2 linked regions of the Xenopus tropicalis genome follow. Each later gene encodes a partner of the first gene's protein in a complex. Links are inferred from orthologs where the notes say so. Each region holds a gene or a part of one and is shown on either strand. Other genes may lie near its edges.

Region 1 (4,306 bases):
CCCATTTTGCAGGATGTGGTGTAACAGAGTAGAAGAGCGAACCACTGATTGCTTTGGACTGTAGGGTATGCATAGTGCTAATAAATCGCAGTTGGTTAACCATTTTCCTGTATGTTCGTTGTAGCCATGCCTTCTTCCTTCCAAGTACAAGATGCACCCCAAACGTATTCAGTATAGCAGACGGAGAGTGGTGTTTTTAATTAAGCTGAACTAATTCATCAGTACCCCCTGTTCTGCCGCATGTACCCTCAGGGTTACACATACCGCTAGAAGTTGAAACTAAATCATAGCGCGCACACTATGCAAGAGCCAATGAATGTTAAATAGTATCTTGCTGCATAAAGAAAGTCGCTCTGAATGCACATTTCCTGTTGAAAACTGTTTCCAGCTGGACCGGTAGGGATAACAAAAGGATGTCTATTTCTCTTCAGTCAAGCCCTCATGTAAAATGAGATGGGTGCGCTGTTCATTGCCTGCATTTAATCAGTCGCAGGCTCTCCACACAGCTTTATTTGTTTAAGCACTGAAGCCCTCAAGGGTCACCATCCACGTTAGCCCCTATTTCCACATCTATTGATGTCACAGACAATTTGCATTTACTGTATAATGATGAGTCCTAACATTTTGTTGGTCAGAATTTTACTGCTGAATTGTCGCATTTTATACAACACTTATTACATGGGTGCCAGATGGGTTTTTGAATTAATGGAACTATGTGGGCACAGTGCTTCCTGTCCTTGACTATGTTTTCAAGGTTTGACATTTTATGTGACTGTTAATTTGGTTTATATATAACTAGCAGGGTTAGCAATATTTGGGTCCTGTTATAATGTGCCCTGTTTTATGTAGGATTTACATTTTATTTATGGTAAGCTTACCCTTTACAGCGAGCATTTGTCTTGTCATATGTGTATTTATCCATGCTAGTGGCAACTGCCATACTGCTTGTGTTCAATCCGTGCTTGGGTGGGTTTTCCTTGGGGTACTCCTTTCCTCCCACACCCCATAAAAATACAGGCAGGTTAATTGGCTCCTGATAAAATTGTCCCTATTGTGTTTGAAAGATGTATAATCTCTGTAAAGCATTGAGGAATATAGCAGTGCCATACAAATAAAGAATAATCTCTAGAACCCAGATAAATAAATTGTGCTGTTGTATCTATGCAGAATGTATTAGCACAGGCAAGGGATATGGTGGTTCTCAGTTTTAGATATTCATTAGAGATTTAAGAGATTTTATATTGATTGCATCAGTGTAACCATCCTCCATCAGGGAATTAAATCAATTAAGGTGTGCTACATGGTGGAAAAACAGCTTCTTGTAGCCCCAGGTGCACACTGTACCCTCTGCCCGGGTAAAACAATATCAATAGTGAAAACAGCAGCACTCCAGTTATTTTGAAAATAGTGACTTTTACTTAAGTGCAAAAGGCAATGTTTCAGGATTTAATTCAGCCCTTTATCAAGCCTGTGGATGGAAAACGTTGCCTTTTGCACTTAAGTAAATGTCACTATTTTCACTATTGACATCCCCAACAGGGTAACACAATCATTTAGGTAATTATAAATATATGGTATGCTATCTTTCAAATGATGGTTCTCCACCCAAAATTTTTTTTGCACACTTAAAGAAAATGTAAATCTAAGTAACTTTCCAATAAGTTTATTCAAAAAATTGTATTGGTTTTACGTTTTTTTTTTCAACCTTTTGAATTGCTTATTGTAGAGACAATGGGGAAGCCTTCCCATAATTCAGAGCTTTTTGGATAACGGGTTTTTGGATCAGGGACTCTATACTTGTACCATAAGCATATATATATATAAGATTATATATATAATATATATAATTATATATAAGACTTGTTATGTTATGCTTGGGACCTGGGGTTTTCTAGATAAGGGATCTTTCCATAATTTGAATAATAAAAAATTATATAAACATTAATTAAAACTAATAGGATTATTTTTCCTCCAATAAGGATTAATTGTAGCTTATTTAAGATGAAATACAATGTACTTTTTTATTATAACAGACGAACAGGAGATCATTTAAAAAAAAAATTGAATTATTTGTGTTTGTGTACTGTGTACTGTGTTTCAATGTAGCTAAATGGAAGGGAAACAATATCTACTGGGTGGCTATACTTTGCAGTAATATCAGATACGAAAATAATGGCATTATATACTGTGTTCCCCTTGGTTGTACAATAAATGACTGTTAAATAGAGACAGGATAAACCTTAAAAGCCTTGTAGAAAGTGATCTTGTTAAAGAAAAGTATTAGCTCTCCTTAAAATCAGCAAGACACCACAATGCAGCAATTATCTGAATGAAATGACTCTTGGTCTCTGCCTCTAGGTTATTTTTAAGAGGCTTTCACATTCCAGAATTCCCAGGGGACCTTTATGTAGTGGATATTAAGAAGGTCAGAAAACCCCATCTTAGTCTAAATGAAGTATATACTGATCTTTCACCCCTGTCACTCCAAGAGCCGACGTGTGGAGGGGCCAACAACGATCATCAAACCCAGCTTCCTTGTTTTGTATGCAGGTTTTAAAATCCCTTTATGATTCTGGCCCCTCCACTGATTAGACATGAAAGTTGATCTTAGTTACTAAAAACTGACTAAACATTACTCATTTCAACTGATAACTGTTTACGTGCCCCCTTTTAATGCTCTAGCAATCATATACCATGGAGATCAATATGTATAAGCTACAACTATTAGTCCCAGAGCAATCACATCTTTCTATGCAAAAAGCAGTGTAATATGTCAGGGCTAAATATATAAAATATAAGCCAGTTTGGTATTCATGGGGGCAAGTCTGATGCTGTATAACAATTTTTACATTTGGGTTGTGTAATACAGGAGAGACCCCCTTTTTAGGGCCCCTTTGAGATAACTCATTCCATACAAGTTTCAAATGTGATATAGGCACGCAATACTTAACTGTTTAATAGTATTTTATATAAGCTGAATTTTAAGGCCAATAGCACACAGGGTGGGACACTCTGTCTAAATGCCATAGTTTCAAGAAACCCAAACAGGTAGCACTAAAATGCTGCAGATCACCCTGATTAACTGCTATGCACATTACCTGCAAGGCACTTACACAAGTGATTTCAGATGTTTCACATAAAAGTCAGACAGGGCTGTTTTGGGCACTTTAGCACCATGTGTTTGCCAGCTTGAAAACACAGAGTTACAATCTCCCAAAATGATTCTGTAGGCCAGGACCAAATTGTCATGTCTTATTCCAAAATAACCTGCAGAACACCATATAAAAATCAGAAGTGGAAGATAAGAAGAGATGGCCCAAGAGCAGCTGAGAGACAGAAAGATGCAGAAGATGTAGTGGCATGAGAAAACTGAAACTTTTTGGTTAATTCCTGTTTTCTCTTTTCTTTGCAGTTCTACAAAGTTGCAAAAGACTGGTGGCTCTTTGGGTGCTACTTTTGTGTGCCTTTGGCTTGCACTGGGGTGTTTTATACTATGATGACCTGCGAAATGCTGCACCAGAGGAAAGGAAGCCTACGGATTGCTCTTAGTGAGCACCTGAAACAGGTAAATAACGCTGTTACCCTATCACTCTTGCAGTGTGCGGATTAACTATTACTGGTATATGTATTTGGACACAGCTTTTTATTAGTACAAATTCAAAACTGACAGGCATCGGAATAATTGGGAAATTGCTGTACTTGAAAGGGGGGGCGGGGCGAGGCACAACAACAGATGTACTCACTGATAAACTGCTTTTAGCATTTTTTTGTACTTAAGCTTTTATGCATTTGTAGAACTTCAGCTGTCTGGAATCCAACCTCTTTTATTTTAACTGTCTGCAAGGATATAGTCCTGTCCTGCAGGGCAAAGGCTGCTGTACAATAGCTGTAAAGCTGGAAGTCAAAAGAACATTTCCCTTTGACCTCTGCCCTGGGCCCCCATGCAAAATAAAACATTTCCAGAGGGGACCAAAACAGAGTAGAAAATCCCTACCTGGCCCCCATCCCCTAGCCCACATATAAATCCCTGCTCCTACCAGAGAGTTGTGGGGAGTGGGGACTTTTTTTTTGCAACAGCAGAGGAAGTAAACCCCCCGGTCTAGGTCACCCTGTCTCCCCATGACCACAGGGTCACCATGTAATAGCATCGCCATCTAGGATCTCCATGATAGTTCAGGCTGTTTTATACTTCAGTGAACAGGTTTGGTTAAGGGAAGACAGCCGGGCCAGCCATGTAGTGTACGGGATCTCTACCACAATTTCTTGTGGGAATTTTAGAAAGTGCAATTTAGAATTTATACTCCTT
Region 2 (5,089 bases), on another chromosome or scaffold:
TAACCCTACGAGATCGCAAGGGGGCGCCAGATGAGCGACGCGAACTTGTCTGTTGTGCTGTAGCAAGGGGCTCATTAGCAAGTCTGGCGCTGTCACTGAGAGACTCTGCAAAGAGAGAGGATGGAAGTGTCAGGCATGTGAGACAGACTAATGTAGTTCTAGCAAGTGCAGAGCAATGAGGCCTCGTCTGTTCCCAGAGAGACACCTGATTCCCGTGTATTCCCAGCCATGCACACAACTCTCTGCAGCCCTCGCTGCCGTGTGACCGCTCCGCACTGCCAGCCCAGGCGATGACAATCGCTCATCCCTACAAAGCCGTAATGGAGCTGTATTATTAATCTCATATGTATCCTACAGACAGCAGTCTGGCACACACAGTGGCTATAACCTAATGATGTGCTTTTCTAAATAGCAGCTCTCCTGTATATCCTATACATATAACTAATAGCAGCTCTCCTGTATATCCTATACATATAACTAATAGCAGCTCTCCCCTATACATATAACTATAGTGAATGCATTGCCTCCTGTTCTATCTGCTGCCTGATCCTTGCGCTCCGGGATGAGCTGGCAGCCGTGTAGCTGTTGAAAGAGTGAATGTGTCTAATCATTTAATGCACGCAGCCAGCACTGCGTGACAGTCAGAACCTGTTGGCTCAGCTGGAGCTGCTGTTATTAAATACTCCATCTGGCCGCCCCGTACAGGCACTTACATTCCTATAAACAGCACAAGGGACAGGACCGAACACGCGAGGCCGCACAGCACGAATGGATTGTGATTGCAGCAGCGCCTGACGCTGGAGGGGATCAGCCAGTGTTTAGTCAGTCGCTGCGGCGCTGCAGGTGCGAGGCTCAGCCATTTAGTGCGGGACATTTACATAGCAGCCAAACACCTGCTGCCCTGTCTGCGCAATCTCTTCTAGGTTACTAATACCCTATACCAACAATACTGCCCCGTCTGCGCAATCTCTTCTAGGTTACTAATACCCTACCTATACCAACAATACTGCCCTGTCTGCTCAGTCTTTTTTGGGGTACTAATATCCCATACCAACAATACCCTTTACCGATACTGCCCTGTCTGTAGGTTACTAATACTATCGCGCAGGTACTAGTCAAGGTACTAGTCAGGCACATATTAAGTAGGGAATCTGGATGTCTCCGCGAATTCATGGTGGCAGAATCATTTGTGAGGGGGGATATATAAATTATAAATGATATAAGTAGCCCCAAATCTTAAAAGGGCGTTACTAGGAATTATTCCTGGCTAAAGTGATAGCAGCAGCACCACTACATCCAGCAATCAAAAGAAATAAGAAGTGTCACACGGTACCTACAGAGGCTCAGAGTTGTGCCCCAGTTATGGCACCGAGCAAGGCCCCCAGGCATCAGGTCACAGCAGTTCAGTCTCTGACAGGTACCGGCAATGGCAAAAGCCTTCCCCATTCTCAGAAGCAGTAACTCTAGGCAGCAGTGCTTCTCCCTTTGGGGACACCCCCACCCTGTAATCACGGATTCTCCAGAATCTCACCTGTCTGCCTTCGCTATGTATGGGCTGTCCCTTCCTACAAGCCGCGACAAAGCCAGTCTCTAAGCCTATTATTTCATTTCCCAATCCCAGCTCTAGTCTCCGCAGCGATTATGCCACCTAACAACCAGAACCTGTTGTACTCTCCCACAGTCCCTTTCCCATAATAACCCTGTGTGCCCCGCATTCCCCTTCCCATAATAACCCTGTGTGCCCCGCATTCCCCTTCCCATAATAACCCTGTGTGCCCCGCATTCCCCCTTCTCCATAATAACCCTGTGTGCCCCGCATTCCCCTTCCCATAATAACCCTGTGTGCCCCGCATTCCCCTTCCCATAATAACCCTGTGTGCCCCGCATTCCCCTTCCCATAATAACCCTGTGTGCCCCGCATTCCCCTTCCCATAATAACCCTGTGTGCCCCGCATTCCCTTCCATAATAACCTGTGCCCGCATTCCCTTCCCATAATAACCCTGTGTGCCCCGCATTCCCCTTCCCATAATAACCCTGTGTGCCCCGCATTTCCCTTCCCATAATAACCCTGTGTGCCCCGCATTCCCCATCCCATAATAATCCGATCTGCTCTGGGCTGCACCTGATGGGAGAGCGCTGCCAAGTTGTTCCCAAAGATACTTCTCCGCAATGCCCCTGTGCGATCATTGCTTTCCCCCATAAAGACAGACTATAGGCTCTGCTCCCAAGCTAAGCTACCCCTGGTGGTACATCACACAGCAGCTACAATATTTACTAAATCAGCATTTTCACTGCGCTGCGCTCCAACTTGCTTCCCTTGCCAGTGCACTCAGATGAGATCCTCAGTATTCCCCTTGTCAATGTATAACCCCTTGTTTAAAAATACCTAAAAAGCCCTACATGAACATAAATCAACATTATTTAGCTTCCAAGTTGCCAATTAACTCATAAACCGCCAAAGGTGATGCACGATAGTATATGGTATGCGATAATTCATGCGCTGCTACCTGTCCATGCCTGAAACAAGGTAACCGCATTATTTCCCCGGCAGCACAATCCACTTACACACATTTCTGAAAATGACATCTACGTCTGTATTAGAGAGTCTGAAGATAGAAATAAACAAAAAAAGTTCATTTTTTTCTGTTAATATCTAATATGCGGCATTTATGGAAACTTTCCCAACAGATGGATTCAATATCCAACCATTAGGTGTTCCAGGATAATGTATCAGGCAAAAAATGGCCAATGTCTAATATTAGCCCCCCAATATAATGCCACCATGTATGAACCTGAGTATTAATGCATGCATACAGTATGGTAGGGCAGTACATCACGCAATTGGTTGCGCCGCACACAGCACCCAGGTCCCTACCTGTTGCACTGACTCCTTGCACAAGGACAACCAGCAGAGAAAGAATTATTTGTAGATCCATAACGAAGCCGGATAGGTATCGTCTTAATGAAAATAGTAAAAATGATTTTCAAAAACGCAAGTTCAAAAATCCCCAAAATGGTCAGTCTCGATCTTTAATTCTCCTTTATTCAGAGTTCAATAAAAATAAAGTGAATCTGAGAAAAAAAAAAAGTTTCCAGTAAATAGAGATAAAACAAACGCGATTAATTAAGTATCCAAAGTCCAGCGAGAGAGGATGAGGGGCTCCCACTCCGGTGCAACAGTGCCAAGTGATTACGGTGCAGCCAACTTCGCTTTATATTCAACCGCCATGGACTTTGTAAACAGCCTCAATTTATATTATTCCGAGACAATGTTATTGTGCTATTAGTCACCGAGTACAACGTGCGGACTGAGATAAGGGCAGGCTGGAGAGGAAATCTCTGGCAACTTCAGAGAGGGAGACGCCGTCTCTCTGACAAACCGTGGGCAGGGCTAACTGAGAAATTCCCTCTCTTTACCTATTAAAGCCTCGTCGTTCTGTGTTCCTGCCGCTAGAGGGCGCTGCATATGCATTAAAAAAAGGCAGAATTCCAGAGTGATATACAGAAGCTCTGGTATTTTCAGTTCTTGCTTCACCTGTCAACTAAATATCATTGCTACCTGGAAGAACTGGATATTTATCGTCATTGACGATTAAAGAAGAAGAATGTGCTAATACTTCACTATTCTCTTTTGTATAAATGCCAGAGATGGTGTGTGTTTGTGTGCCTGGGACTCATATATCTTCATTTGGACTGTGGCTGGCATGTAGAAATGTTATACTGATTTCACATAGCAGTGGCTGGCTTGTTGCTGTAAAATCTCAACGCCTTCCTTGAAGCTATCAGAGCACATAACACAGATGCCGAAATACTACATATACTACATTTGCACTGTTTCTCTTTTTATTTTCCCCAAGCAAAGCAGTGGAGCAACTGTTTAAGAAATATAGCCCTATACCAAAGTAATTGTATGCCTCCCAAACTCTGAAAACAAAAAAAACTGCTTATCAGGCTGCACTGGGCTCCCTATACTTTGGGGGCAGTTTTAGGATTACCCCCTTTATCATTTGGATTAAAAGATTAGCTCCTGTAATTTAGATATGTTGTGCTGTGCAATAATTCTACCCATATGTACTAAATCAGTCTAAAGTTATGAAAAGGTGGCATACATGTGCAAAGCTGAATGGATTTATAAAGGATCCCACTACCTTGGCACATGTTGTCTACAGGGCACTCTAGTTTGTAGCAATGCATGTCCTTACAGGAGCCAGCCATTGTGCAACCGGACACTGCTTCCATTTAGAAACTACAGGGAAGGGTTTTTTAGTTTATGTATAAAAACTCACTTTTAGTGGTGTATGAAATGAACACAAACTGTTCCACAATATCTGTTCAAACATTCATTACATGGGCTCCAGTTTTTTTCTATATAAATAGCAGACTGTTTGGCTTCTGTTTTAAAACATGACCCTGGTATGTTTGTGCTCCTGCCCAGGTCACCTGAAACCCATTTTTCCTTTAGGGCCCCATGCAAATGCAGCATTTGGGGTCCCTTGTTGATTTGCAGGGCCTACCAAATGATCAACCCTACAGTTGTACCTTCTTTACAACCATGAAGATGGCCATGCACCCATACAAATCAGGGCACTGCTTAACTCTGGTCAGTGAATTCAGCAAATAAGGTGTTAATGAGCGTGTTTTTTTTAACAATCCAAGTGTTTAGTATACAATCATTTTTCTTTTATATAGAGGGGCTTCCTTGCAAGTCTGATTGTGACCAGGGCACCATCTTTGTGCAGGTTGAATACTATCATGTGTTTGTGCAGGCTTCATCTTTTTGCCTTGGTTTCCTCCCACAGTCATTAAAAACACATTAAGCAGTCTGTTATGCTTTTGATGGCCAGTGATTAGTTTTACAATGTGTGTCTCATACTCTTCTCCTTTAAGATTGTAAGTTCTAATATGCAGGGACCTCTTTCACTTTCAGTACTAGTTAATATCTGCATGCAATTGGAATATTTGATGTATACACCCATCTATATCTGCTAGATCTACTCCTCAAAGAATGTGTTGGTATGAAACAACAGCTATCTTACTTGGGGCCATTTTAATCAAATGGAAAAAGGGACTTTTGCCCAGGACCCACCA

Evidence for each region. The genes of interacting proteins can lie anywhere in the genome.
Region 2: the proteins of ednra (region 1) and edn1 are in contact, whole or in part, in a cryo-EM structure (PDB 8HCQ), measured with the Homo sapiens proteins. The link is inferred for Xenopus tropicalis from reciprocal best matches to the Homo sapiens genes EDNRA and EDN1. Residues at the interface, in NP_001948.1 of Homo sapiens: Tyr68, Gln72, Thr73, Lys74, Tyr129, Asp133, Ile136, Asn137, Lys140, Leu141, Gly144, Arg145, Trp146, Gln165, Lys166, Val169, Glu220, Phe224, Val227, Phe229, Tyr231, His236, Lys237, Thr238, Cys239, Met240, Leu241, Asn242, Gln252, Lys255; in NP_001403492.1 of Homo sapiens: Cys53, Ser54, Leu58, Asp60, Lys61, Glu62, Cys63, Val64, Tyr65, Phe66, Cys67, His68, Leu69, Asp70, Ile71, Ile72, Trp73.

The regions. Positions count from the first base shown.
Region 1 is NC_030677.2:57,644,553-57,648,858, reverse strand, and holds part of ednra (endothelin-1 receptor precursor), read left to right. Parts: intron 1-3,412; coding exon 3,413-3,565; intron 3,566-4,306. UniProt on the Homo sapiens protein: Receptor for endothelin-1. Mediates its action by association with G proteins that activate a phosphatidylinositol-calcium second messenger system. The rank order of binding affinities for ET-A is: ET1 > ET2 >> ET3.
Region 2 is NC_030682.2:91,302,087-91,307,175, reverse strand, and holds the start of edn1 (endothelin-1), read right to left. Parts: upstream 3,360-5,089; 5' UTR 2,938-3,359; coding exon 2,877-2,937; intron 106-2,876; coding exon 1-105. UniProt on the Homo sapiens protein: Endothelins are endothelium-derived vasoconstrictor peptides. Probable ligand for G-protein coupled receptors EDNRA and EDNRB which activates PTK2B, BCAR1, BCAR3 and, GTPases RAP1 and RHOA cascade in glomerular mesangial cells.